Lepisosteus oculatus: one gene and its partner. The protein of the gene in region 2 binds, or shares a complex with, the protein of the main gene of each other region. Links are inferred from orthologs where the notes say so. Each region holds a gene or a part of one and is shown on either strand. Other genes may lie near its edges.

Region 1 (15,744 bases), about 14 Mb from region 2:
AGTCTGGACCTAGCGTACACAGCTGTCAATAGTGCACAATCCTGATGAAGGTCAACTTTGGGCACATGGTGAGCTTCCACTAGCTGGTACAGTAAACACATAATCACTTTATTGGAACAATATACCTTGTTAGCCTGACCTTGACTGCGTAACTGTAGGAACTACTGCCGAGCCTTAAAGGATATGATTTTATATATATATTTGGCCTTTACCCAGACCCGTAAAACTGTAAATGATCCAACGTCTAACAGCTACCAGGATTCAGTAGTTATAAAAACCAAACCATAAAATAAAACTAAAAACGTAATCACCAATCACGTTAGACATAAAATCTCTTTTCTCCTGTACATTCTGTGGAACCATCTGCTTGGGTGTAATATAAGCAGATCCAGATTGTTTCTGGAAATATGCGTTGCATAAAGACAGCATATAAAAATAAATCTTCAAACCATGATAAAAATGTATGTCTAGGTAAGCACATATTAAGAAAAATAATTAACCTTTCACAAATGAAAGAGTCAAGATTAGAGACAATAACTCAGGAAATTACCCAGTCACACTAGCTAAAGGGTCACCGGGCCCATGCACAATTTCCACATAGTTGCAGCAATGTAAGCAGACTTACTTTTTCAGGATGTCCTGTTTCTTCTGTTCGTCTGAGGTTGGCAGACCCATAGACTTCTGCCTCTGGTCATACATCATCTTCTCCACCATGCTGCGCGTCTCCCCATCTAGGTCAGACAGCTGTGCACAGTGACCGACAAAGGGATCTATATTATCAGAGGCATCACTTACGTTTTCATGCATTCACAGCTCCTATAAAATATTCTCATGGTGACTCAATGTTCCTGAACTTTGGAGTAGAAACAGACAGAGGTCATGGTCATATCAGATTAGCCAACTGCATAGAGAAAAAAGATCAAATCTGAAATTATGATAAAAGCAAATTAGGTTTTTTCCTACATTTGAATGCCTTATCATGCTCCTTAGTCAGAAGAAAAGCCCCCCTCCTCATATTACCTTGGAATTCTCTGGACATATTTTTTTTGTGTTGAGTTCTGGGTCTGTTGTCACAATCTTGCTCCACCACTCCATTTTGTTAATCTGAAAGAGAAGACAGGGATTTGTGGCCACCTGGGTCTACTGTTGTCAGAACTGCAAAACTCAAAGCAATGAACACAAGGTAAAGGTGTTACGTTAAAACTGGTAAAAAAAAACAGTTACGTTGCACACTCAACACTGTTTTAATAAACACTTAATGTAAGTAAATGGCACAAAACAGAAAACAAAAACCTTTAACATGCAGTGTTACTAAGAAAATGACAGTCACTGGGTAACATTTCAAAAAGGAAATGAGTGAAGGATTTCTGTTTTTCGTGTACGCAACACAGAACAGCGTATACAAGAGATTCTATCAGAAGTCATGAGAAACAAATCTGAAAGAAGGCAGAAATCACAATTCAGAACTATCTGCACTAATACCTGTATACATACATACCAGTTTTATAAACCTGACATGCAGAGAGCAACACTACAGTCTGCAGATTATCACTGGAAGAGCAATTACAGTTAGGTCTACAGAGGATGAAGCATTCAACAAACTCTCTCTCCCACCTTTCAGAAGGCAGGCTAGTCAGCAATGAGATCACGCTGTAGGGTGTGTGTGAGTGGAGGCTACCAGCGCTGCAGGTCTCGCTCCCTACCTTCTCCAGATGGACAGTGACAATCTTCCCGTCCTCGATGAGCCAGGAGCTCTCCTCCACCTTCACCTCATTGTACAAGTCTGCGTCAATCACCAGCGGATGCCCCTTCAGGCCCACCTTGAGGTGCCGCCTCTGGATGTCCACTACCAAATCCTTCCCCTTCAGGCGGAACTTAACATCAAATGGCACTAGGAGCTGGGGGTTAATAAAAGAGAGCATACATTGATAAAATGACGCTTATTTACAGCAGAAGGGAACAAGTAAAATGCATGAAAAGGGAGGCTGTTTGGCTAGATTAAAAAAAACAGTTTATGCCATATATAACTTAGAGCCCAAGAATTTGGAAGACCTTCATTGACATCACCACCACTACTTTTATTATGATTATAAATAATGGCACAGTAATTTTTGCATATTTAGATCAGCTTTATTCATCAGCTCACAGACTATTCTATTACAATCCATAACTGTAGCATTGTCCCATGTATGATTATCTCATCAAATATCAGAAGCTATATAAGGCTTTGCCTACTCACTAATAGAACAGGAGAACTCCAAGAAAACCAAGCTTGGTGCTTTAAGTGAACAATTTTCAAACAATGCCCCAGTAAGCTGAAAGAGAACACCGTACTGTAGGCAAGAAAGCCTTGTGGATAATGTTTAATCAGGTTCCTGGCTCACATATCATTGAAGAGCCCAAGGCACTGTTAGAATGAGTAGGATTGTTAAATCAGAGTGACCTCCCTAAACTCTCCTCTTAACTGAATTAGAAAATCAATCATTCACTTTGCATAATAACTACCGTGTGACATCCAGATGGGTGCTGCCTGCACTTCACAGGAGGATTGAATGTGCCCATCCTATTTGTAACATGTTTTGAGATCCAGTGGAATGAAAATCACTATGTAAATTCAAGGAATTAAAAATCCAAAGCACCGGTAAGGTGCTTAGCTGCGTGGCATATTCGTACAAATGGTCTGCTGAGTTTTCCTCACGATGAAAGAGTGTGTAATATGCAAAGCAGGGCTCGATGCTTCAATACATCCACTCACATCCACTTCTGAAAGGGTCTGTGTCCACCTGTAGTTGGGCAGATCAGCTCCATTGCCAGAGTTAGGCTTCAGCTTTCCTTTGTCCTTCTCGTCTTCCTCGCCTTCTGAGTCAGACTGGAAAGAAGAAAAAAAAAAGCATTTTCTTTATTATGAAAAAAACATTTGGATGAGCGACCCTTTTCACAGCTTCAGCATTCGCAATCATTCCTATCTTGTGCTTTCTTCCCAACCCTATCCTTAATTTAGTTTTATTTGACAATTTTAAACAAGTTAATTGAGGCTTAAGTATTACAAGACAGTCAAGGCACACTGACTGATCTTACCCCTTTGTCCTCCACTTTGTCAGATGAGTTCTCTGCGTCATTCTTGGGAGCACTTTCCTGCTTTTTTGCCTCTTCTTTTTTCTTGTAATGAGAAACAAGAGATGCCATTTATGAATGGACAGCACTGTGCTGGAAACAAAGAGAACAGAAGCTTGGATATACTGTACATGTGCTCACCCAGTGTGCTGGTTCAGCTCCATGAACCAGACAACACAAGTTCAAGCCTGGGTCACTAGCGGTCTCTGGGACTAATGTGCTAGTGTCACTAGCTGACCCTGACTGGAGGTTCCCTGAACAACATCACACAACTAGCAGAATGGTTAGGTATAAAATGAAAAACAAAAATGAATTCAGAGACGTTCACCCTTCATGAAGGGAAGAAGTGGGACGGCATATGTTTTAGGTCATCATCTAGACTGTGGGAGATTGTGGGAGTTTAAGCAAGAAATATTTTCTTAGTATGCATGCTTGATCTCTACTCCTGTACTGAATTACTTAAATTCAAACCATTTTGTAAAGATACACAGTAGGCATACAGAACTGAAGGGAATAAATGGATACCTGATGCATCTGCACACCCATCCAAGTGCTTTCTTGCACAAAAGTGTCTTACTGTTCGGTGTTATACCATCTTCTGTATCTGGCTCTGTGTGCACTGCCATCTTCCTGCAGATCAGGGTCATTCACCTGGTCGATCTCCGACTGCAGCTGTGCCGCCTCCTCGTCCGTCAGCTCCTTGATCTTTGGCTCGTTCTGTTCTCCGGTCTTCTTCTCCTTCCCCTCCTCCTCCTCCTCTGCCAGCCTGGCAGCTCTCTCTGCCTTCTCCCGTCGCTCCTTCTCCTGCTTTGCGCGTTTTTCCCGCTGAGCCTTCTGCGCCAGCTGATTGTGATGTGCAAAGGCCTCCTTCACCAGCTAGCCGGGGGATGGGGAGGGGAGAGAGGAAGGGAACTTCGGTCAAGGCTTACTGTGTTTGCCAACTGAGGTCAGACATGGCCAAAAAGCGATGACAGTGATGCCCTTTATACTAACTATACTAACCCATGCAAAAACTGCATTTTTCTCATTTCAAATATACCCCAGCAAAGGTCCCAAGGTATAAATATAACAAGAAGCATTAAGATCACCATAAATTAATAGTTGAATGAACAGTATTTGTCGGATTTTAATACATTTCAGTAGAGATTTCGTGTGTTTCTGCGATGACTCACAAAATATATACAGTGCACTTCTGTGAAAAAATCGTAAACATTCAGCAATATGCTATTGCTTTTACCGTGTTTTTCCTCTTATATGGAGAATCACGATGTCTTGGCTATCTTCTACTGAACATGGAGCCATGTTGTTTTAAGCTAACAGTTAGATCTGTACAGTAAGTATAAAAAAACAACTTTTTAGCATTAGTGACGTGTACAGAGGAGCAAATAATGCTCTAGGGAGAATCTGACAATGAGGCAGACAGACTTCCGTGGCAAATAACTTCTGTGGATTAGCTACTTCAACGCTTAATATTTACTACTCAATAGTTGTAACTAAACCTTTTGAATATTCATTAGAACATGTTAGAAATAACAGGGGGCTCCTGTAGTACATTTGGTACTTAGTAACTAATTGATCAACACATATTAAAGATAATTAGATTTCAAGGTTGATTTATTCTAACTCAAATTAGGCTGTATTGGCAATTAAATCTGTGAAACTTGTAGAAATCTAGTGGAAGTCAGAATAACGAGGAATACATTGTGCTCTTCAGAAAAAAAATCAGCAAAAAATGTAAAATGATTTATTACATTTGTTGTGAATTCATAATTATGTCTTATCACTAGTATCTATCAATAAAACTTCAATACAATAAAATGCTACTGGTTTCTGGCTGCTGAGGGAGAAACAGCTGTCTCAGATTCTGAACTACAATTGCAGAGTGCAGAAACAGAATTCCTACCCAGTAAGGTCAATTTATTGGGGTAAAAATATTTATTGGGGTATAACTGTATACCTGTTAAAATAACCCACTGTCTGATGCCTGATTTACAGATACAAGGCAACAGTTCAATGTGCAGCTCTCAGCAGATCCTGGAAAAACATGTTTTCATCCCTGAGCCTTCCCTTGCATCACAATGTCTGACCCCTGAAGTATTTTTTGGACACTTTCACACTGTGCAGTAACAGGAAGATATTGAGGTCAACAAACCAGACTTTGTACTACTTCAGCAGAGACAAACAAATGAGCTTGCCAACTGGGAGAAGCTATGAACTGCAAAACAGCAAGGACAGGAGCATGACCCTGTCCTGGACCTTCCATACAGAAGTGATTTAAAAAAATAGTAATAATAAGAAGGCCTGCATATTTATGAAGAGTCATATTTGGAAAAAAAAGCAGCATGTTAATTCATAATTACATTCATCATTAGTATCAAAAACCTACGAATGTTTTTGGATCATTCCAAATCCAAAAACATACTCTGATAATTCTAAAAGTAAATTGGAAGACTAAAAACCAGACTAATTCCACCTCTCTTCAGCTGCATAAACACAAGTGTGGAACAGGAGTGAAACAGATGACAGCCCACTGGCCAAACCCATCTTTGCTTTAAAACACTTTCTTGAAATTATCCTACAAGTAACTCAAATGAAACATAAAAGACTGTGTCCCAGATCCTGATTCTCCCCGAGATCTCAAGCATGTGACAAGAGATGAAGGCAAAGATGCAAGGGCAAGGACACCAGGACAGGAGTAATGTGATCACGTGCACAGGATCACCTGAATAAAAATCAGAAGATTATTACCTTCTCTGGTGCCCCTGGTTCCCCGCCTGTGAAAAAGTCTGTTTTGCGCCTCAGAAAGCTGAAGAATGTGTTCACCAGCTACAAAATATAGAACGCAAATAATTAACCCATTATGGCATGATGGTATTTACAGTACATAAATTACACCGTTCAACTCTGCCATTGGAATTCAAGGTTTCAATCTACACTGGCTTTCACATCAACACCATTCACAGCATCCATCCTCATACAAAACCACAAACGAAACAAAAGTGATTTGACAGGTTCAAGACATCTGTGCTGGGAAGATAAATAATGGAAGGAGGTATTGCTCAAGTTAACACTGTGCTGCTATGCAACTCCTCCAGCATGCTTTCAGTTTTAAAATGCCAGACCAATTCCAAAAATCCCTTCTTCTTTTTAGATTAACTAAAAGTAACCTGCATATACATTTGTTAATTCAAGATATGAATGGTAACATGCATTCATGCATTTAAAATGAATGTATTTCACTAATCTAATACTATATATTATTAGGAGTTTAATGAGCTGAATAGCCCTTTCATTTGTAAGGTTTCTAGCCTTTCTTGTGTAGTGCTATAAGATACCTTTTCAGTGTTAGTTTTGATCTTATTCATTGTATTTTAACGTGTGTGGTGTGCGGGCTGCAGATTGTGCTGCTAATGGCAGTTCTTTGTTCTACTGAGTGCGAACACAAATCGGCAAAGAGCAGGATTTTTTTAAATCAAGAACAAGGCCTGTAAGAAAAGATGAAGAAATGTCTTGCCTTTCCACACAACGCTATGAACCGACTTTATATATGGGCTTCAGAGCACTGCGCTAAACTTTTTATCCATCTCCCTGTATTGTTTTTTTTTTTGCAATTGGCACCAACATTTAGTTTCAGCCCCTATTTCAGTGACAGGTAATATATTTATATGGTCGGAGATTAGGCTACATCAGAATATTAGGGAGTACGGATACAAAAGGCCAATAAATGGAAATGCTGATAACTTATGTTTGTCCAATTACGGGTGAAGATACACACGGGAAGGTTTATTTTCTCCTGTATTCTGTATAATATTTTAAAGATAAAGAACATAGGTTACTTTCAAATAAACCCACTGAAACCCAGCGCAATAAAACGATTCCCAAGACTAATAAACCGTTTTACTTTACTTATTTACTCAAAGCTTTATAATAGCTTACGAAATTGCAGATAATGTTTGACCATACAGCAATTAGAGAAAGGGACTGCAACGGAAATTCTTTAAGCGTTTTTGAGAGCAGTTCCCCATCCCCCATAAAAATGTAACATCCACGAGTTTGTTATTATGTATTACCTCCTGCACTCCACCGTCATGCTGTTGAGCCATAGCCAACAGCATACCGTCAAACCTCTCATCTTCTTCTGCCATGGCTTATCTAATAAATAAATTTTAATTTGAAGAACGTTTGTTACAGCAACAGTCGCAAACTCAATGAATGTCTTGTCACGCTCCCCGCAGCCCTGCAACCATTGACTTCCTGGAAACAAGCACCGCCTCCGTTACAACCAAAAAAAAGGAAAATCAACTCTCACCCAATCGAATGTTTTATTTATAACTGACAGGTCCTGTGAACCAATCAACTATCAGCAGTGTCGCCGAGAGGGCTGGTTCAGAGCGTTCCGACTGTTAAATCGCGCCGACTAGGAACAGAGTCGCGGTTAGAGTAAGGAATGTTCTGGAAGGTGAAAGAAAATGCAGTGTTTGTGGCTCTAGGGGAAGTGTAGAGTGGCACCATTGTCATGCTATAATGTAAGCATTTAATGTAATAAAGATGATATTATGCTACCTTTTCAAAGTATGTCTAGACTTTGGTTCGTTTTGACAAACGGTTTGCAGTATTATAAGATACCGCAAAATTAATAGTGAATTCACCGTCTTCGACTTCATGTCTTTAGCATAAGGAGATCTGCTTGCCAACATTTGCCAACAGCTAGTACAGTATTTTGCAGCAACTCCCCTTTTCCAATTATACTCTGTTAAATTGGAAATAAATTTAAATTAATCTAGCAGGTTGGAGTATGCATATCACGCTTCAAAATTCTAATAAGTAAAAAGAATATAATGAACTTTGAGAGATTTTAGACATTTTTTAAGGAATGTAGAAAACATACACAGGCCTATATAAAGTGTTGACTTTCTGTTTTTTTTATAAATTCAGTCAGTTGCGAAGTAGTCATTTATTTGGCTAACACTTACAGATTTTCATCTGTATGGTTGGGTATGTTAGTGGAACAATACCGTAGAAACAACTTGCTCAAGGGAACATCAGCAGAGCCTCACCTGAGATTTGAACTCACAGCCTTGCAGTGGTTAAGTCCAGATTCCTGACCAGTCCTACCCAAAGAACAGGTGATCACATTTGAGAACAAATGACCATTTATAATGATGACCCATTTTAGAGGGCATTTATTGCAGTGTGCTGAGTGAAGTACCTTGCTCAAAGTTACAACAGCAACATCCAACCTGGAAGCAGTACCCATAACACTCTGGTTTACAGTCCAGAGCACTGCTACTCCATACTACTACCTGAATATTACATACAAGTTACTAAGTCATGGGTGGCACAGAGACTAGCATTGCTCTCTTGCAGTGTTGGAGCCCTGAATTCAATTCTGGGCCTGGAGTTCTTTCTGTGTGGAGTTTATTATGTGTTCTCCTGATGTTCTTATGAGTTTCCTCTCACAGTCCAAAAAACGTACTGGTAGGTTAACTGTAGGAAAACTGGCCCTGGTGTGAGTGTGTCTGTGTGTCTATCTTGTGATGGACTGCATCCTGTCCAGGGTGTATCCTGCCTTGAGCTCTTTGATTGCTGGGATAGACTCCTGCTCCCCCCTGTGATCCTCAACTGGAAGAAGTGGTTTCAGTATGTTGTTTCTGCTTGAAAATGCTGTTTCCAGTACTAAGAAACGTGCCTGGAAGTGATAAAGAAAGGTGAAGCAGCTTAAATATGAGGAATTGAGGTTGGTCAAATATGTTGACACACCTCGTCAATTATGGATGTGAATACTCTGTAGAAGCCCAGGAAATAATTGTTGTTGTTAACTACATTTTCTAATGGTTATGCAAGTTTTACTGAAATATGTCTTTTAATGTCTTGTAATACTGATTACATATTACATACTGTAAAACATATCTCTGATTACTCTCTGTCCTAAAAAATATTCATGGGAGAGGCATAATATATAGAGTATAGCTTGTTGTGGGACTGTAATTTAGCGATTCGATGATCTAGATGAAAGGAGGCTTGTCCTGTGAAGTTTGCAGTGCTGATGTTTTCAGTGCATTGTCCTGGCACTACTTACCAGTCAGCTGACAGTGAGACAGACCTGTTTATTCCGACGGTATGTTGCACAGTTAATCCAGTCAGTGTGCAGAGTCCTGTGATAACCTGGATGTCACTTGGTAAACAGGTCTGTGTGCTTTCTGCACTGAGGTTGGCTTCATTGATTTCTCCCACCTGTTTTGTATGAAGCACTGGTCAAAGTCCATGCTATATTTAGCACAAATCAGGCAGGCTTAAAGTTAGAAAGCATTCTGTTCAATTGCCTGCTTTCCACCAATGGACATTTGTGATATGTGCCTCCTAAAACTTCTTAATGTACCTGATAACATAGCCACATTAGCTTAAAATTATTATTCTAGGTAAAGGCATAAATAGAGTCACTACATCAGCAATAATATACTCACATTGAGTTAATAGAACTACCAAATAACTTCATATTTAATAAAATATAGAAAACAATTTTATGACAAGAGCCTCTCGTCTCCATCCAAGATGACTACTTCCCTATGCAGTAGCTGATTTTGTCACATATTGATATTCAATCCATTAATCTTCAAGATATCAGAGACGTATGCAACAAAAAACAATGGACCTAATGGTAAGCTACTGTGATGCATTCTGTAGTTGCCCACTTCATATTCTACTGTAAATGTACAGGTGTTTTTTCTTGATGACATGTTAGTTTATTCTGTCTTGGTAAAAGAAAGATATGCTGGTTAAGGTTGGAATGAAATCTTCACCAGATATACTGTACATATTAATAGCTGTAGTATTGGAGAGTTAGTTAATGCTCCTAAAAATAATATCATTGCGTGTGACCAATGTCAGAAAAATAAATGTATTTTTGTTCCCCAAAAGTAAAAAGTGACTCTAAGAAACAATGACCGTGGTAATGAGTTCTTGTGTTTTTTTTAATATGCTGTATTAAAAAATGTGCTGTATTTAATGTGCTGTAGTTGGACAACATCAGGATACAGAGAACAAAGTAATTACAGTAAAATCAATGTACACGAATGTTAGCAAGTGAATTTAAATATCCTTTTTTAAATGTTTTGGTTTTCAGAACAACATATCTGCATTTTCCCAGATGGAATGGAACACTGGTGAAAGGCCACTATGTTGCTGCAATTCCTGAGTTTTGTTCCTCCCCAATAAATCAATTGCCTTATCAGGAGAAGAGCTCTGTGCTAGGCACGACTGAGATTAAAAAAGGGATACTTTACTGCTTTGTCTCTGATTCAGAGCCTTCCTTCTGGGATGATGGCTGTTTGCATTAGCTCACTTTTATTGACTATACCATCAGGAAATGGTAATCTGATTATGAATGGCATTCAGTCAGGAGTGCCCAGCAGGAGAATTGGCGCCAGGAGTTGTGCGTTAATCCACAGGTGCAGCATTGTTGGAAAACCAAGGGAGGGGACAAGAGAATAATTCTTTATTTCTGTTGGTCTCACTCTTCACCAACTGAACCTCCTAAAACGTTCCGAAGACAGCAATGATTTTATGCCCAAAATGTGCATAATGTAATTGCATTAATAACTATGCTGAAAAGAGAAGAAAGAAAACACAACGTTTCGGCTGTGGAGCCTTCTTCGAGTGTCACACCCAAGTGAGGCTCCACAGTTGCAACGTTGTGTTTTCTTTCTTCTCTTTTCAGCGTGGAATAAACCTATCACTTGTTCCTTTGCAGCCTACGCATGGTGACGCAGCTGCCCACCTGAACTACTTCAATAACTGCTTCACACTCAACCTTGATGCAGTTTTTTTAATGGAGTTTTCATTTTTAAAATACAAAAGAAAAAGAATATACAAAAAGAAAGAAAGATCCCACACTAAGAGAAAATAGTAAGCAGGCCAATGTGCCATGTTTTTCAGACAAGAAAAATCATCTGAACGTGCTGTCTTAGTTCTTCAATTAGAAACAAGTAATCTGGCTGTAATCTAGTAACCTTACAGTACATCTTACAATAAGCCCGTTTCTCTGAACAAAAATCTAACAGTGGTTCTTTCAAGTGAAACCCATTCACCAAGACGTTTCACACCAAGGAAAATCTAAAATTCAACTGCTATGTAAGAATTGTGCTGTACTTCTCTTTCATTTTGAAAAAGACGCTCCGCTGGTTAGTACATCACACCAGTCAAGTGTGATTATTAATACAACACTCCTTAAAACTCCTTAGTGTATAAAGGTACGAGTTTTTAGAAAAACAAATTGCTTGGACTAGTTGAAACAGAATAATTCACCATTTATGAGTGTCAAAAAAGAAAATGTGAGGTCTCAGACTCAGTCAAGGGAAATGATGACGCAACCTTAATTTCTGCTGATTAGTTAAGCAGTTGAAAAATACAAATGACCTTCAGTTCAGTGTCTATTCCTGACCCAGATATAATATCTGCAAAATACAAGTCTATTAGTAATCAATGCCCTTTGTGGTTTGTATACTGGACTGCCTATACCAAGGTTCTGAACAGTTTATTTCACACATATATTGTACTGAATGTGTTGATATATGCTGTTCACAGAATGACTTGCATTGAACAGGGATGGAGGTACAAGCTTATTTTAAATTTAACAAGATGAATAAAAATAATGTATTTTATCAGATTAAAACGGGGGAGTTGTCAGTACCGAATATTATATAGTATAGCATTATTATTAACCTAATATAATTATTCTCATAACAAACTATATTTAGAATTTTCACTTCAGAATTTCCTGTTTTTCCTACAAAACACGTCGTTTGGTGTTCTATTATACAATTATAAATCCTTATAAATTTCTTACATGTTGTTAAGCTTTCAGAAGTAATCCATCTATCCATTTCAGGGTGATTCTTTTTCCTATTGATTTTTCTGTACATCACGAATATCTTGCATTTTCAACAGTATCACTTATGCATTGTAGCTCTTCAAAACGTCTACCTATCCCCTTGGGTTGAAGTCAATGGATGTGACGTCTCCTATTCTTGAAACCAAAATCTCTATCGCTCCGTATTTTATACTCGGAGGAAAACAGTTCCAGTTTTAAGTTCGTATTCAGCACCTTTTAAGGTTGCCGAAAAGGGTTTGAAATGAATAATTTCGCATCTGCGAGAGGCGATATACTACTCAAGGACGCATCAGACAGCTCTTTACATGCATAATATCTTAACTGTTTGTACTGGCTGGCTTCCAGCTCATTAGGTGTTAGCTGGCAGCGATAGTGGCCATATACTGTCTGCTTGATTACTCCCACAGTCCTTGGTAGCTTGGTACAGGCTGGGTTAATGGCTGAAGTAAATAAGATAAGTGACCTACTCCCAACCACCCCAACGTCGCCTTGTACCATCAACCCGCCGATCTTCATTGAGAAAACCTTATCTTCTCCACGTGGAGCGAACCTACCTGAGCCAAGCAGTCCAGGGTCATGTTGTTTTTCAGTGAGCAAATGTTATTCAGCTAGGGTCAAGGCTGGCTTGCTGTACCTTAGGGGGAAGCCTCTATAAATAGGTCTGGGACAGCAGAGCTGGAGACAGGCGTACGCACGGCGGACAGAGCTTTTCTGATCCAAAGCATTTAAGTAGCTGCGCGGCCAAGTGGTACAGCGCGCAAGGGCGATTTACAGGCTACCTGCGCGTTCACCGTACCAAATTCTTTTAAGCCTCGTTTAGTTGAAAAGATTAAGTAAACGATGTCTTGCCTCGAAGAGCCCAGCGACAGATGCCAGTGTTCCGGCTTCAGTGTTCGGCAGTCCAACGCCATCCTTTACAATATTCTGAGCCGCAAGGACAGCGACCACCTCGCCCACAGCTACATCACGTCTCCGCACAGCTGCCACTGCGAGATGCGGCGGACTGTTGGCCTCAAGAACCCGGACGAGACGTGCCAGGTAGCTTCCGGCGTGCTGGTCAAAACGATCCACTTCATGAAGAACCTGCCTTCCTTCTACCAGCTCCCACTCAAGGACCAGCTGGCTCTGCTGCAGAGCGGCTGGGCGCCGCTGTTCATCCTGGGGCTGGCGCAGGAAGGGGTGGCCTTCGACGTGACGGACACGCCGGCCGCCAGTTTGCTGAAGAGAATCCTGCTCAAGGACCAGGACCAGGACCAAACCCGGCTGGAGCACTCGGACAGGGCGCAGCCCACGCTGGACGCCGTACAGAAGCTGAAGTCTTGCGTCAATAAGTTCTGGAGCCTGGATATGAGTCCAAAAGAATACGCCTATTTGAAAGGAGCGATTCTTTTTAACCCCGGTAAGTATACTAGCGAATTATTATCACCGTGCTTATTGATCTTCTTGTACCAACGGGTTAAATAAAGTAATAAGTGTCAATTCCCGAATAGTTTTCTCACATAATTGTTGGTAGATGGATTAGTTAGTAAGGAATCCACACTAAGTATTTTAATTGGAATGTATGAGTGGATGAATGTCCTGCTTATTAATGTCTTTTAACGGACAAAATAGCTTGTTGACATGGCTTAAGAAAAGGCTGTTTCGAAAATTACACATTGATGGACATTGGCCCAAAGTTTCATCCTTCGTTTACTACTATAAATCTTCTGCCCAAAAGAGTCCCATTTCCCCCCCCCCAAAAAGGAAATTCTACCTAATTAGGTCTACAAGCCACATTCATTACTTGTCCACTGGGATAAAGTGCAGAATTAGCTAATTTCTCTTGAAGGGGGGAAAGTTAAAATAGGAAATAAAAAATGAGTATGGTAAAGTGGCACAGAATTACTTCGCAAGAATCGGACCAACGCGTTTGAAGTCGTTGTTTCCAAGCTGTCAAAAAGGCCACCGTTTCCTGAACACAATTCGTCAGGCAGCCCCCAGCGGGGAAAGTCTGTTATGAAGGGGTTTGTACCACATTTTCAAACTGCTGACACTGTGGGTATTACAGCACACGTCCGTAACGGGTGTTGGCATCATTTGCCATTACTTGGTCGCAAAAGGATAAACTACACATGTAAACCCTTCTGTTTCATACGTGTAGTAGTTAGGAGAAACACTTAATAGAGTTGATTGGTTTTCCCCCGCTTCGGGAGAGAGATTAGTGCGTTCTCGGTGGTATCTAACCAGCACAGTTTTGCAACCCCATAATTCGAATTAAGGCTGACTGCGTGTAGACGTTTAAAAACGCCTTCAATTCGGTTATTTTTTTCAGATGTCCCGGGCTTGAAAGCGTCTCTGTTCATCGAGAGCATGCAGCAGGAGGCCCAGAGAGCTCTTCGCGAGGTGCTGCTCCCTCTCCACCCGGGAGACCGCGGCCGCTTCGCCCGCATCCTCCTCACCGCCTCCGCGCTCAAGACCATCACGCCGAGCCTCATCACCGAGCTCTTTTTCAGACCTGTCATCGGCCAGGCGGACCTCTTAGAACTACTCGCCGAAATGCTTTTCGCCAGATAAACGAGGATACAGGAGCTCAGGTTGCTTAAACTCAACAACACCCGTCGCGGAGCCGCTGATTTGAGGGGACAGTGTTACAGAGAGCTTGGTGCACTCTACCTGGGAACACGCACGTCATGTCCTGCTATTAAAACTGTCATGTTATGGTCTAAAACTTGGGCAAAAAGGTCCGCTAAAATCATGCGAAGTGAGCAAAGAGACATTCTCGCCTTGCGAGTTTCAAACGGCGACGATACGCAGAAAATCGTTTGAGAGGAACAGCCTGGCTGTATTACAGAGGGGACTCACTACTCGATCATTTCGGTGTGTGAATTTGGCGTATCTCTCATACGCTGTGCCAAGCTTTCGATGTTATGATTTAGATATAGATCTTTCAGCTGAAAGGGCAAACCTGGTTTTGTTGGCTTAACAGAATCTTCTTGGAGAAAAACGTCACTTTATTGATCCGAATCACTATTTTATGTTTTTTTTTTTAAAAAACTCCTTTAACACGTCCGTAAAAAATCCGTGTGCATGAGTGTATGTGAATAAATTATATATTTTTTAAAAAAAGTTTCTGTAACACGTCATGAAAAACGTGTTTAATAAAAATGTGTTGATACCCCTTTGTCTTTTTATAGCGGCAAAAAAAAAAAAGTGAACACGGCCGATTCAAAAGAGTCGGATTGGAGAACCATACAAAATCTGGACTAAAGCGAAATTTGAATGAGCCCGAAAGAAAAATGCGATGACTTATCTGAACAACCTCTCTCTACCTGTCGAGGAATTCAATTTCCGCCGTGAACGGTCGTTTCGAATAAATCAAGGGTGGTGACGCGATTTCACACCCCGCCGTTCAGTATCCGGAAGGTTTTGGTTCAACAATGCCACCAAAACAGATGATTTTTTTTAGAAATATCGCGGTATAGACTATTTCTGGCGAGTATGATGATTTGTACTGTTGACTTTGAGGGTGATGGGAGAGGCCCATTGCCAGAGACGGCTCTTGGGCAATACCACCGCAACCAAGCAAGGCGCGGGGCTGGGCCCGTAGATACCGGTTCCTTGTGCTTGTCGCCTGGTGACAGGAAGTCCTCTGCCCCGGTGTTCCGCGCAGTAAAGCAGAGGTCAATGACACGCAGGTTAAGGAGCAGGTTCAGGTACGCTCCTTCTCCTCCCTCTGTAAGGCGGGCGTTTGTGTGCGATTC
Region 2 (15,546 bases):
AATTTCAGTAACATTATATCTCACTCTCGGTCCATGAGCTTATTTTCCCCCCCAAGATACGAGCTTAACCAGAATTGTTATGATTTAAAAATAAATCATACTCTATATAATGATTTCAAACACACAACATTGATAACAGAAGTGAAGAAAATAAAAATATTTAAGGTCCTTCCATATTTGATCTATTTCTTAAATGTGTTGGCATTTCTTGGTACACAATAAAAGAACAGAATATCAAATACCTGCTTCTTAGAAAAGAGTTTTATCATTTGCTTTCAGAGTTATACAGAGACCTGCATAAAAGCAGCTGAGACACATGCAGGAGGTCCTTAAAGGTCAAGTGAAAGCCTGACAGTGAAGAGTAAGTGTCTGTACTCCTAGTCAGGTTAAGTTTTAGTCCCATGACTCCCACAAAGGGAGAAAGAGTTAAGCTTGATATTGACAATTTACAATTGAAAGCAGCTATGACACCTGCAAAAAGTAAAGTCCTTCCCCACCAGCAAGGGGTATCAAACTCAGACTCATAAGGAGGTGAGTTACATGTCTTTTTCTTACCCCACATTGAAGCTCAGCAGATTCACTGGTCTAGTTTTTTAATCAGATAAATTAACACTTTTCTCCAGGAAACAACCCAATTTACAGATCTAGTACCTCTTATCAAGTGCTTTCCTTAGACTGTACAAACATCCAGCATGGAATCTAGTGATCACAGGAATCTACAGAGAGCTTAACCTGGAATAAGAAACAAGATCTTGAGGCACTTCACAGCTGGAATAGAACACCTCCAACTTAAAATTTGCATTCCACAAGAGAACATAATGAAATCATCATAAGAAAAGGTTTTAGTTGAGTTTCAATCAGAAACTAAAACAGTTTTTAATAATAATAATAATAATAATAATAATAATAATAATTGCTTACACTTATATAGCGCTTTTCTGGACACTCCACTCAAAGCGCTTTACAGGTAATGGGGACTCCCCTCCACCACCAATGTGCAGCATCCACCAGGATGATGCGACGGCAGCCATAGTGCGCCAGAACGCTCACCACACATCAGCTATCAGTGGGGAGGAGAGCAGAGTAATGAAGCCAATTCATAAATGGGGATTATTAGGAGGCCATGATTGGTAAGGGCCAATGGGAAGTTTGGCCAGGACGCCGGGGTTACACCCCTACTCTTTTCGAGAAATGCCCTGGGATTTTTAATGACCACAGAGAGTCAGGACCTCGGTTTTACGCGTCATCCGAAGGATGTCACTATACTGGGGCATTAGGACCCACATGAGCCGCAGGGTGAGCGCCCCCTGCTGGCCCCACTAACACCTCTTCCAGCAGCAACCTTAGTTTTTCCCAGGAGGTCTCTCATCCAGGTACTGACCAGGCTCACACCTGCTTAACTTCAGTGGGTTACCAGTTGTGAATTGCAGGGTGATATGGCTGCTTGCAGTTTTGACTTTAGCAACCTTTCTCTCCTTGTTCGAGCATATGGTCAGAGAACTACTCTCAAACCTTTAAACATTCACACATCTTATGCCCTGTTTATACTTACACTGCAAGTCTTCTCCAGAATTTATTTTCTGTAACCAGGTTCTTAAACAGAGCAAGAACCCAGAAGTGCATTTTGATTTTTTTTCCTAATCCAGAAAAAAAACCTAAAGATTCTCACTAAAACATACAGCAAGCATATTGACCAGAATGGTTTTAAGCATATTTGGAGTACTTTAGTGTACTCTTAGTACAACTGTTGGTAACCTGAAACATTTAAACCAGTGCTAAGTGTAACTAAATATAACATACAAATAAAAATACATATGGTGCTTATGTACAGCTTATGCAAGCTGGAATAAACAGTGAATATTTACCTTCAGTCCTGGTTTTACCACACTGAAAGAGAAAATCAAAACTGTTGAAATCTACCCTCACCGTACTGTATTTATCCTATACCCCTAGAATGATCATAAAATGTATTTCTATTTTGTCAGGTGATTACTTTAATTTTTTAAAGCTACTGTATAACCAGGCATATTACATCTATAGAAGAGAAGCATCATATTTCATCTGCCTTCACACAACAATAATAAAAACAAATGGGCCACAAAATCCAATTTGCTCTTATTGTTGTAAAGTACATCTGCAGACATCTCGCAAAGGTTTAACTCATTTATTTAGTAAATGTTATCACAGACAGGAAACATGCTGCTCTTAGCTCTGAAGTACCGATTCAGGCAATGGAACATTGCTTCGAGCCCATGACAAGGACATTCAGTCTACTGAATGATTCTTGTACTCTTCTAGCAAAAGGACACTTTATTAACTATTTCTGCACAGAGTGTATTACAAATTGTAATTCAAAGCCCAAGAGAGCACTTTGAGTTTTAGATGCTCTAATACCTACCCACCCCATCAATTAATTAATTTTCAATCTTCACTATTGAGTGGCATGGAAGATGAATCAGTTAATCTATGAGAAAACAAGAGCCACTTTGTTAATGTATGATAGAAACCTTTGTAGTAAACTACTTCATGTAAAAGGAAGTCATATTAATAGTCATTTTGCTCAGGTAAAACAGACCCAAAAAGGCTCCATCACCTTCAACTTTCAGAAGCTAATACAGCGAAGCCCTTACAATTAAACCTCTCCCATCTCACAGTAATCACTGCCTCTCTCCAGGAGGTAAGATGAAGTCCTGTAGTTTCTTTTAGCATTGCACAGATTTCAGTGATGGCAGTGCTTGAAGTGGTAGATGATGAGGCAACATTAATGAGAAAACGAAATTTGAACAGATATACAAAACTACACATCTTGTTTTGTTTTTTTTTCCTGAATAACAAAGTGCAGACTTGGCTGTCGCCGGTCAGCGTTTCAAGCAGCACTTTCCAACAGCACCTCTGGCAACACAGCTCCCTGGGACAAGCTCTCATGGAGGAAGCACCTGACTTAAAGCGTCCCTGGTGTGCAGTGGAATCCGATCCGGGAATTTCACCTCGAACTGCAGGATCAGATCTCCACGCTTTTCTGGGCACTTGGGTAATGGCAGGCCTTCCCCTGTGATGCGCTGCTGCATTCCGGGCTTGATAATGTCTCTGAAGGTAACAGGAATGGTCCTGCCATCCAATGTGGGGGCATTCACAGTGCATCCACAGAGAGCCTGGGCATGGGAGGAATAAGATGATTGGTAAAGGTCATGTCATACAAAAACAACCTACAACCTATAAGTTTCATTTAGAAACCAATGCCTCAAGTTCCTCGAGTGCTTTTCTACTTGTTCTAGTTAAATTAATAAGCCTAAGAATTACCACTAGCATTCAGAGAACTCTTTTTAAGATGACTTCCAAAAAACAAAATCACAATACCAGGCAATATGAATGTCACAAGCAAGTTAAGTACTACAATGGATAGAGTGATATAAATAAGCTACTCTTATACCTCATAAATGAAAATGTACAAAAAAAGTTTAATGCAAGATAAGACAAATGAGCAATGTACCAGTTGAAAAAGACCACACAAGGATGAAGAAAACATGCTCTAAGCCTCCAAATGTTATGCAATCTATATGTTGGTAAGCAAGTAATTTGGATTTAACAAGTATGCAAAAATTGGTAAATCCGGTTAGACTGAGCTAGGAAAAGTCAAACCATTCGACAGCCCTTAAGTTTCTTTATTAAGCATTCTGTCCAACTTTAGCACCACTGTCTTTCACATACCTCCCTGAGTGTGACTTTGGCTGGGTAGATGATGTCAGACCCCTCTCTCTTGAACACTGGGTGGGGCTTGTCCTTCACCACAAAGACAATGTCTGCCGGGATGTTGGTAGGCGTTTCGTCACCCTCCTTGGGGAAGGTGATCTTGGTGCCTTCTTTCCAGCCACGCTTGATCTCCACAGTGAGGATCTTGTCCTCTGTGTGGGTGGTACGTCCATCAGGGTTCAGCCTCTTGTGGGAGATCTTCATCTTCTTGGTGCAGCCTGTGAGGACCTCTTCCAGGGTCACCTTCAGGTCATGCACTACAGGGGGGTCCTGCTTTTTCACGATGCCATCCCGGGACCCACGTCCCCCCATCCCCATGCGTGTGAAGCCCCTGGAGAACCCCCCCATGCCAAATCCCGCAAAGGGGTCATCGATGTCCATATCCTCATCACCCCCGTTGCGACTGAAGAAGGAATCAAAAGGGCTGTGACCCCCAAAGAACTCTGCGAACATGGCATGGGGGTCCCCATGGAATGTGTAGTTAAAATTTGTGCCATTTGGTCCGCCACCTCCAGCGTTCCCCTTCAGACCTGAGTGGGGGGAAAAGGCACAAAACATTACGCACAGGTCAGAAAAATCAAGCCTTTCTGCACTGTCCTGAAGAGAGCTGCACCATTGAGCAGCAACTGAATTTCTGATTAAAGAACCAAAGACATTCAAAAGATGGATATTTTATTTCACACAGGATTATGAGGTATGAAGAACAGTGAAATTGTTGAAAATTGTTTCTGGTATAACAAATCATTACTTGATTTCTGCCTATTTCGGACTATTTTAGCACATCTTGACCTTATGTACATGAAGGGTACATGGTACTCAAGGTACTCTGAGAAGGCATTCTGTAAATACTGCTTTCTTATCTGTTCTTTAATGCCCATATCACTTAAAATTGAAACATCACAACAGAAATGTGGCCTCTCAAAGTGTCGTTTAGGGTTAAACAATTATAAGTAAAATAATCAGATAACTCTACAAGAACAGGGACACCAATTAAAAGAAAAGTTCTTTCTGCCCTCAAATCCAGCGACGGTTGTTTAGTTCAAAGCGCACCTGAAGCCCTGCTGCAAACCTGCCCTTGTATAATCCCGACAGAAGCTCAGAGTAAGCCTCTAACAGCCCCAGACAGGACCAGGCGAGAAACTTCCAGAAGGCACGCGAGGCATGTACTGAGCCAATCAGCGGCTGAGCGCACCCGGGTCGCCAGAACACAGCGAAAGTAAAGTATTAGATATTCAATGACATTAATAAATTTACGTAACTTAACATTTACCCGCTGACTATGGCAAAACTACAGTACAACCACAAATCAGTCTATAACACGAATAGCTGACTTACAAAAGAAAACTGTTTTTCTATGGAACCCTCACCTCTATATCTACTCAAGCGGCTAAAACATTTTTTGACTAGGACTTAAATTCTTGTTTCGGAAATAAGTAAACGAGACTGGTCAAAGCGAGACAAGGTTAAGTTCTCTCTTCCCTAACTGATCATCCTTAACGAGAAGTTATGGTTTCTGATCCCTCCAACACGGGTTAATGCTAAACGAATCTGTATTTTATGCTTTCATATTTAAACGCCATTATTAAGGCAGATAAGGGTTAATGTACAAACATTACAAGACTCACGATTAATGATTCCAATCGGCTGTTGTGCAAAACTCGATCCACAAAACATCTCACGACGTAGGCAACATTTTAATATTCTACCCTACACTGAAAAGCATCAGAGAAACACGGCAGTGCTCAAGAATGTTTGCATTTCTTAAAAAAATAAATAATACAACTTCACACTTTGAAGGGGCCTTTCTCACCAACACTCAACAAGCAGTCATTTTTCCAGATTCCGAGCAAAACTTGCATTTCTTACTCTACAGCAAGTTTAAAGTCTGACAATAAGGGGGCATAAGACGGAGAAAATGTGGTGCCTTCCCACCTTTAACAGGCATATGAAAAGGGGGATCGATATTTTAAAGCAACAAAATGTAATAGATTGCGCGTTGTAGCCCCAGGCCTCCACAGTCCACAGCGGTATCCTGTCCAGCGCGGCACCTAGTTAAGATCGAACCCGATTACCTGCAGGGGTCAATCGGTCAGTATTGGATTGCCCGTGTCAGCTGTATGATACTACGAGAAAGGTTAAACAGTACCATCACTAACTGAAACTGCACCTTAGCACTTTCGAAAGCGCACTGGTCGATCATACGTCTTTAGTTTCGGTTTTGGGCTCTATCAGCTGCCACACACACCCAGAAGTTGCCAGAACATGCCGGTAGGCTGGGAGAGTCGGGCACACTTTCAACACACGCACAAGGACTTTAAATCTAAACACCGACTGCAAAATGCAACGCAATTCACCCAGCAAATCCGCTTGATGCGACTGAGCTTTAAGGAACAGCTCTCTCCCCATGGCATCTTAATAGAAACGCTTTTCTGGGCATCACAAGGAGTCAAACGTTTTCAGAAGTGGGAGGTCCTCCATGGAGGTAACGGGACACCCGGAATCTCACTGCTAGTCCTAAACTTGCCGAAATGCTGCTGTTGTGGAGTTTATTTTTAATTAAGTGTTATCTTACCGTCCTCCCCGAATTTGTCGTAGATGTCTTTTTTCTTGGGGTCGCTCAAAACGTCATAGGCCTCCGCGATCTCTTTGAATTTCTCCTCGGCATCCGAAGACTTGTTCTTGTCCGGGTGGTAGCGCAATGCCTGCTTGCGGTATGCCTTCTTGATCTCGTCCTCCGAGGCTCCCTTCTGGATTCCCAGCACCTTATAATAATCTTTACCCATTACAGCCCCGGTGATCAATTACACTCACAAGACGACAAGAGGAAAATCACACAAGTTGCTCTTTAAGCAAAAGGTCACGACGTCGTCACAGTGAACAAACAGCAGTCACGCGAATCAGCTAAAGGTTTCCTACTGTAGTTCCTTTTACAGATCCACGCAGGATAAACAAAAAGTCGCAATCTCAATGTCATATATACAGACACCTGTATTACGTACACCAACGACGCAATACCCTTAACAAAATAAAGCGCAACCAGCTCTCTACGACTTTCTCTCAAGCTGCAGAACGCTGGTTCTGCCTGCTTTCAGTATTTATAACACAGCAGAAACTTCCAGAACTCTCCCCCGCCATCAAGATGCTTCCTCATACTGCCTTCCAGCACACACCCCCGTCATACGTCAGAGTGTCGTTGCGTAGGCAGCAACGCCCTCCTCTACAACGCCACGGACGGACAAACCTTTCAAGACCACGCCCCCATTTGATCAGCTAGTTCTCAACACATCCCTCGTAAACATAGTTCTGTGACTTCTTTTTGAGCGAAAGCCACACGTAAAAAACAAATATTGCTTGCATTTAATATACATTTTTATATAATGCGTGTCCACTGATGATGTTACATAAACAACAATGCCTGCATTTAATTGAATTCTTGCTTTCATAAAAAAATCGTATTCCAGAGCAGAATTGCCAGAGTTAACATCCCCTTTTCATACGAAGAGTGCCATGGGATTGTAATAATTATATAGTTAGTGTCAATCTTTTCAATATCAGTTTAATGAGAATTTTCTTTACTCTGACAACCAAAACAGCAACATGGTCTGAATGAGCTTGTCTCATCTTATACTTTGATTTTTGCATGGACTGGACTTCAAGTTGACTTACAAGGTTATTTAAATGTTAATAGGAAATGAGTATCGTACCAGGTTAATGGTAATCTCTTACCTGTCCAATTGATTAAGAGCTGAAATAAAAAACAAAAACTTTTTTAGAAAAAGTTATACATACTGTAGTTGTTTATAAAGTGAATTGGGAAGATCTACAGGCCTGAAAACAGCATGTCTTCAAGGATAATTTTAAGTTTATAGTACCTTTAAATACCTACAGTAGGTTTGATTAGACAAAGTTAGTTGTACTTAATTTGTGCTTGTGATGATTTACCTACTAAAAAATCTGGTATGTTGCTCACCCCCATTAGGTCTGTGCACCACAGGTTAAGAACCTCTGAAATAAATTGTATCAGTTTCAATAAGATGGCTTGGTAGTTCCATACTCAGAATCCTTTTGGCAAAGAATTGTGTGAGGTAGTGACAGGTGACTTTGTGAGACAGCCATCTTTTAATTGGGGAGGGAAATTATGGAATGAGGCACACCTGGTCTGATAGAGTAATTAGCATTCAGAGAGAGTTCTCTTTCATATCTGATTGGGTTGCCTTAATGTCGCTTAATTGGTGATGTTTGAAATTGTACTGAGGAGTGTTACAGGTGCTGGACAGATAGGCTACATGAAAACTAAGAAAGGGATTAACAAACCAAAGGAATAAAAAAAGTAAGGGAGGCAGTGTAATGTTATTCCAAAAATCTCAAAAGTGAGGGAAGAACACTGTCCTGTGTTTGTTAGATGTGGTAGTTTGCCAAGCACAGTAGGGTTGATGTTTGCTGCTGAGGAACATGGCTGGCCAGCTTAACCAGGGCTGACTGGAAGTATTGATACCTGTAAGACCGCTGCTGTGTCTCTTGGAAAGGCTGCATCTGAGAGGAAGTCTGGATTGCACAGATTGTGTCCTGAATAAAGTCTGTGCATCAGCAGACAGATTGAGAAGTGTGAGAAGCTGGATGCTATGTCAGGGGTGCAAGTGATGGTTAAAGAAAAGTATCCCAAATGGGATCAGCTGTTACAGTTAGTGATGAGAAGAGTTATTGGTTGTTCTAGTGGACTTGAAGATCTAGTGACTTGAATAGAACTAAATGAAAAGCAATCAAGAAGGAAAATAACAGAGCAGTTTTCCCTTAAAGAGAAACACTATATCCTGCCGGGGGTGTGAAAGAGGAAAGACAAAGCACTTAAAACATGTATAAACTAAGGTGTCATGGTGGCAGTAATGTTATTATTGTGATGTGTGTTGTTGGTGTCACAAAGTGCCTCCTGCTCTTGGTTTTATATACAAGTCTATGTAGTTTCCATTGGTGCCTTCTGAGTTGTATGATATAAGTTTTATTTATTGAAACATGGGATGACATCCCTTCAGGATAAGACTATAACATTCCACTTGAAATGCTGTGACCAAACACCAAGGCCAGACTCAACGTAATGAAAACAAATACGCCCATTCTTACCACCCCAATCCCTGCAACAGTCCTTTCAGATCCCATAGAAGAAGAGGTGACATCTGCCTAAAGCTGACCTTTACAAATTAATCTTCTCAGGAACAATTTAAAATCTGCATCACAACAACGAACAATGTGACAACAGTTTCTAGGAACAAGAGTTAGACAGAAACTTAAATCTCCATGGAGGTGAGATCACTTCCTAAAAATAGCAGTGACTTTGAGTGATGTCCTTTTTTTCTATTGACAGTGTCTGTGGTCTCTAATAGCAGCAATGTGGATAGTCAGACAGTACTGTACTATTGGCATACTGGACCTATGGCATACTTGGCATAATGTGTGCCTAGGGAATGAAGTTTTAGAGTGATGATGGAGGAGTATTAGCCTCACTTGAAAGAAGAATCACTTCACAGAAGGGATTGTAGAGGAACCTATGAAGGAAAGAAAATGGCAACTGCTGTAGTTTAATAAGTCTCTGTTCTGTCCTTGTGAAGAAGTCTCCACAGCCAAAACATTTCAGGAGGGAAATAATCTCTACTTGTTTATTCACATCTCTCTATTCTACCCAGCACACATTGTAGATGGTAGCATTGAATCTATCACTTTGGAAACTGATGTTATCAACGTAGAATTGCTTTTGTTTAAAAATTAGTTTTAATATTAATGAATTGTTATCTTATATCATAACTATTTGATATTCTTAGCATTCAAGGACCGGACAATTTTCTGTTATTCCTTGGTTCCAAATTCAGAATACCCAAGTACATTTTATTACTCTTCCTCTTATTTTTGCTTGTGTGTTTCTGAGACTCACTTGATAAATAAACATTTCATTTACATATACACTAAACTAAATGAAAATTACAAGTGCATCTGCAACAGTAAATTATACATGATAAAAATGAAGAATATATTAAATGTTAAATGCATAGCTTTTCCTTTTTATATCTGTTTTTATGTGTTCATTATGCAGGACTGTTCTATCTTGGCACCTGGATTCTAAGATGTTGCTTGTCTGTGATCTTGGCTAATCCTTGTCTTCCAATGCTACAGGATTTTCATTCATTCATCAATCCATTTTCTTCCATTTCATGAACTCAGGGGGGCCGGAGTCTATCTCAGCAAGCAACAGGCGCAACTCAGGGTACACCCTGGACAGGACACCAGTCCATCACAGAGCACACGGAGACATAAACAGAGATATACACATCCACACCAGGGTCAATTTGCCCAGAAGCCAATTCATTTACCAAAATTTTTTTTTTTGGACTGTGGGAGGAAACCAAAGCACCCAGAGGAAACCCACGTGAACACAGGGAGAACATACAAACTCTACAAAGAGAGCACCCAGGTTCGGAATTGAAATCAAGGCCCCAAAGCTGTGAGGCAGCAAGGTTCATCACTATGTCACTGTGCCGCCTTTCTTGTGAGTTAATTATGTATATTTCTGTTTCCCATTTTCCCTTTTTGATCTCAGAAGTTCTCAGACCTTGTCCTGGAGTACTACACTCCTAATGATTCTTTTATTCCAGCAGAACTTACTTATTTGAACCCTTGAAAAGCAGATCTAACAAGCTGCTTAATTGGAACATTTGCAAGTTGTTGTTGTTTTTTTTTACCTCAAACATGCAGTAGTTAAAGGGTGACCTCAAAAATTAATTGTTTCTATGTCAATTAAGGGTTCACTTGTGTAACTGACAGCTTGGGTGGACTAAAAACCGGCAGATCTGCGGGCCTCAAGGACCAGGATTGGAAACCCCTGCCTAAGTTGAATATCTGGTTTTAGGCTGGTTTTATTTTTGTTACACCCTGCTTCCAGAGAGCAGTGAGAATTACTAAGCACCACTTCCACATTTTAGAGGCTCTGTGAAATACTGAAGAAAATCAACTGAAGTTAATCTAACTCAATTAGTCAAGACACTCTGTTATCCCTTTATCCCAATATCAATATGTTCAGTAACATAGATGCCTTCTTTGGCCACAGTTTTCATGTTCATGACAAGTGAGTAGTTGTTAATCCAGCTGCAAAATGAGGAATGTAAAGTTACAAATCACTATGATCAAAAATCATAAATATATTGACAGGGTTTTTTTTTTCAATCTTCTGCTGCAATTGTCAGTGTGGAGCACTCACTAATTCTGCATTAATTTGCTCTTTTTTGTCTTTCAAAACCATAAAAGAAAAAGTGATCAAATACAGCTCTTACTTAAAAAAATATTCTCATTATTAAAAATATTTTGGAACTAACAATAAATTCAATCTAAATTAAAAAAATTACACAGGTAAATTAGACTTGTTTCTAGATGTTGAGTTCACCATGGATATGCACAATGAATTAGCTTTCAAGTGAAAATGCTTCTTATGGGTCCAGAGGTGTAGACTTTTTAGGCAGTCATACTCACAAAGTATAGTATGATTTTACATAAAGAGACAAACAGAATAGGACAGCTCTTTGTTAAGAGATTATTTGGAATGAAAACCCACACACGCTGTTTCTCTGGGACCTGGATTGGGGAAAAAAAAACTTTCTTGATTGTCCCAGGGTAAGGGGGATACTACATTTCTCATTCATTTAAATACTTTCCAAACTGAGGACCCAAACACAACGGAGATCGTCAGGTAGGTCTGAAAGACACAATATGCAATAACTTACCCCACTTTTAAAGAGATACAGTTTATGTAATTCCTAAATTTGAGAGATAGAAAATATGTGAATTAGATACTCTGATACAAAATATATATCCACAACATGGTTTCCTCATATCTAGGCTTCAGAATTCTTCTTCTATGATATGATTGCAGGAAAGCTGTACATGAGAACACAGGTCATTTTACAGATGAGATGAGTTGATTCAACATATGTTGCCTGTTTAGAAGCTTGTAGATTCTGAATATCTTGAGTGGAGACTGGATGGCCATCTTCACTGGGAGGTGAATGTGGGCGCTACACTGTCCCCACCTAAGAGTCGAGCCAAGTCCAAACCATCCTTCCAGGCTGCACACGCAAGGCAGGCTGCTCCACGGGCTCCGCTGGGGCTTCGTGCTGGCTCTCGCTGGGGCTCTCCGTGCACCGGGCCTCTTTCTGCATGCCCTGGCATCTCCTCACGCTCAGGCCGCTGTCCATGCTCAGGGCTCTGTGTTGCTTCACTCCGTCCCACTGCTGACACCAATGTAACTACTGCGGGGTTCGGTACGGAGTGGAGCAAGTGTAGGACTCAGGAAAAGGCTTTGAACAGTACACCGAAAAGTCCTGGCCCTCAGGCGCTGTTCCCAGCCCACCCTGTGCTCATGGCTAAAGGGGAGGGAGCAACCGTTAAAGCGCCCCACGTGGGTGCTACAATACTCTCTTTGCTGAGTTGTCAGTACCTCTGAGGATTTTGAATATTTGAACCCAGTGTTTTTGTAATCTTCTCTGTTCAGGACTGAAGAGATTCAGTTTTTGGTATTTAACTTCTCCAGCTTTCCTTTGTTAATGCTCTACCAAATGTTTTGAGAATATAATATTCATTAGAATTACCCATCCTGTCCAAAGCAATAAGAATGACCTGGGATACAGTATGTCTCAAGATTCCTGAGGATGACAAACTGGTAGTTTCTTTGATGTGCTGCGCTATTAGTGAATATAACTGATTTAGCTATTGTTGATGCACATGATTCTGCTACTTTGATTAAAGCAGCTTGTTATCTTGTCAGCCCAGCCATGCTTTATAATTTCTAGATATCAATATTGTAGAGATCAAAATTGTTATTTTAGAGATAGCTCATCATGCTCACATCTCATGCACAGCTCTGCCAGCTTACCGAAGCCCACAATACATATTACATATTGTAACGCTACGGGGTTCATGTGGGTATGCACCCTCACCACTGCCGCCTCAGGCCGGCCCCCCACCATCAGGGACTCAAACCCAGGCCTCTGACATCACTCAACAGGGACCCAGCCACTTGAGCCAAAGGGAAATCTCCCTTCAGCCCGGCGGCTGCGGTCCCTGCTATTCACAGGGAAGTGACGTCACCGCTCTGGTAAGCCGGCTCTCACAACCTGCAATGGTGGCCGTATGCGTTACAATATACATACATCTGCTAAAGCACTGCTTCCACATAACCACAAAATCAGTTTGTCTGGTTTGAATATGAATAAAAAACCTCAAGATATATATAAATTCATTTTCGAAACAGGGTGGAAAACTGTTAATGGAAGTAAAAAAACTCATACATCTTTGGCCTATATTAAACCTAAACTTTGCCAGGATTGTCAAAGCAATAAAAATGGCAGCTTCTTGTATCTTGATAATGGACAGCCCTTATTGAGTAACACTTAGGATTTTGGGTTAATACTAAGATTTAATATGCAGTTTATTAGGTAAAGGGCATCCCATGACATGTTTATTATGTTTTATAATAAACCTGTGTAGTACTGCATTCAGAAAAAGAGACCATTTTATGAGTAGTACTTAATAAGTGGCCACATTCACATTTCTTAGAACGTTGTTCTAAGGTCCAACATACGTAGATCTTAAAGATTTGACGCAATTGGATTGAATTATTCGATCTACAAAGGCTACACCGAAGAAAAGTATGGAAGAAACATCTGCTATCGTGTAGTTGCACATTGCGTGAACGAGATCACCAACTCTGATACTGTATGGTACAATGCTGAACACTTTCCGCCCCCCATACACCAATGCAATGCACCTAACAACAATTACTTTTAGCATTAACCCCTGCATCACAAGAGAACCTATGAAAGATTTTGAACGTTGAGGAAACGAGCTATCTGTATTCCAATTTGCCAAACTAACATCACTCCATAGGTAATTTCTGTTTCCCAATTGGCTGGAGTGATCCCGACAGTGTCTTCTCGTTGGCTAGTGTCTGTTCTTACCCAGTCTACGATTGGCTACGGAAACATCAACTGTCGGCTTTCTATTGGAAAAGCTACAACGTTCCTGCACTCCCATTGGGTAGTGCGGAGGTCAAGCTTCTCGCTCGAAGAATAGTTCAAATCGCGGGGATGAAGCATTACGAGGTAAAGAATAAATAAATATATGTTCTCATAACGTATGTATTCCTGTACCGACTGTAACTGAAACATGGTTGAATGAATTAGAATATCAAAGTGATTTTATAATTCAGCATAAGAATGTGTTTCATGCATTTCCATGGTTCTTGGAAGAGATTTATCGTCTCCGCTGAAGCTTCAGTGGGGGGTGGGATTATTGCACACAAGTTTCCCTATGCCAGGGCCGCACGGGGTGTCAAATATATGATAATAACTGGAGGCGGAAATGGTGTTAAACACGGAGTCGCAAGACAAGAGCAATAATCCGTTGAATATTCTGCCTTTGGGATTTATATGATTGTATTGTATCAATAAAAATGAGAAATATTCATTTAGAGTACAGCATTGTCTCAGCAGGTGCATTACTATTGGGAGGAGAGGGGGTACGTTTAGGTCTGTGGATGAAGACAGTAGCTAGATTAATAGTTGTTTGTTGCATTATGTATGTATTAGTAAGCAGTTAGTATTCAATTTCTTAACTACTGAGCTATACGGGAAATGTAAAGCCCGTTTATTGACCGCGATTGTAGATACCCGACTGTTTACACCGACATCTAAAAACTAAATAGTTTCAAAGGAAGTAATTGCCTAACAGAAGCATGGTAAATAAACTCAGTTATGCTTGTTTCTGTTGCGAGACAAATTAACTTGAGTTTTGTTTCTATACTGTCAAGAGTGCTTGAACGGGGCAGTTTGGTTTAATCTCACTTACACTGTTAAAACACGATGCCTTGTTTAAAAGAGCGAAATGTTCCTGTTTTGAGGTCTGTTTTGAAAATCTCAGAAAAATAGCTTTTTGGCCAGTGCACGTGAACTTTATTCTCATGCGCTCAGGTTTGTGACAACTGCTTTTTTGTTTAAAGTTAGAAGTGAGCTGTTAAATCCTAGTTCCACTGGTTCATATTGCTTCAAAACCCATAACTATTAAATGTAGGTCATTTTTGCCTTAACCTGTCTCTTCTGATCTTAATGTGTTCAGCTGATTTTCTGAATACTCTTAAACTTGAAGAGTTCTACAGGGGAAACTCTGCTTAAGATATTTTACACAGATGGTCCCAAGTGTGTTTGATTTTTGGTTCCATTTGAGCTGTGACTTTACTGACACCTGTAACTGTCAGTTGCTCTCACCTATTTATAGGTGAACAGAATAGACACAAGTCCTGTCTGTCGTTTCATGTTAAGGTCTGAATGTGTTATTAGTCCAGTATATAGTATACAACAAAGTCAGATGGAGACACTTGAGTTAAGGTTAAGTGAGAGCAAAAGGAAAGGTTATAAATGAGAGGTAGTCATTGGGCCCATCTTGATCTTGATAACCATTGGGTGCTGATAATCCATTTCAGTGTCTCATTCAACCACTGCTTGAAAGCTCCCTGACATTGTCAGGTTACAAATCTCTGCATCATATTCTAACTGCTGTACAATTACTGCTCTTAAAAGAGGGTGGGATAACTAACCATATTCACACTGCCACATTTCCATTGATGTATATAACACATAGCTTCCCAGTAGCTGCAGTGGGATAAAGTAATCCATGTGTATATGTGTACATACAAGACACATGGTGCAACTACTTTGCATGCATGTTACAGAGTTCTGTTAACACTGATATAAATATCTCTCC

What was found.
Region 1: the proteins of dnaJ homolog subfamily B member 1 (region 2) and nudc are in contact, whole or in part, in a crystal structure (PDB 7NDX), measured with the Homo sapiens proteins. The link is inferred for Lepisosteus oculatus from reciprocal best matches to the Homo sapiens genes DNAJB1 and NUDC. Residues at the interface, in NP_006136.1 of Homo sapiens: His166, Lys181, Lys182, Met183, Lys184, Ile185, Ser186, Asp201, Lys202, Ile203, Ile235, Phe237; in NP_006591.1 of Homo sapiens: Pro102, Gln103, Ile104, Lys105, Glu106, Leu107, Ala112, Leu115, Gln116, Ile119.

Annotation. Positions count from the first base shown.
Region 1 is NC_090706.1:7,312,100-7,327,843, forward strand, and holds the start of nudc (nuclear migration protein nudC), read right to left. Parts: upstream 7,380-15,744; 5' UTR 7,260-7,379; coding exon 7,185-7,259; intron 5,941-7,184; coding exon 5,863-5,940; intron 3,991-5,862; coding exon 3,766-3,990; intron 3,160-3,765; coding exon 3,079-3,159; intron 2,870-3,078; coding exon 2,756-2,869; intron 1,899-2,755; coding exon 1,704-1,898; intron 1,105-1,703; coding exon 1,021-1,104; intron 745-1,020; coding exon 626-744; intron 1-625. Other genes in the region: nuclear receptor subfamily 0 group B member 2, read left to right, coding at 12,845-13,403, 14,316-14,557. UniProt on the Homo sapiens protein: Plays a role in neurogenesis and neuronal migration. Necessary for correct formation of mitotic spindles and chromosome separation during mitosis. Necessary for cytokinesis and cell proliferation.
Region 2 is NC_090706.1:21,688,683-21,704,228, forward strand, and holds the start of dnaJ homolog subfamily B member 1, read right to left. Parts: upstream 6,919-15,546; 5' UTR 6,534-6,918; coding exon 6,323-6,533; intron 4,281-6,322; coding exon 3,709-4,280; intron 3,153-3,708; coding exon 2,922-3,152; 3' UTR 1-2,921. UniProt on the Homo sapiens protein: Interacts with HSP70 and can stimulate its ATPase activity. Stimulates the association between HSC70 and HIP. Negatively regulates heat shock-induced HSF1 transcriptional activity during the attenuation and recovery phase period of the heat shock response.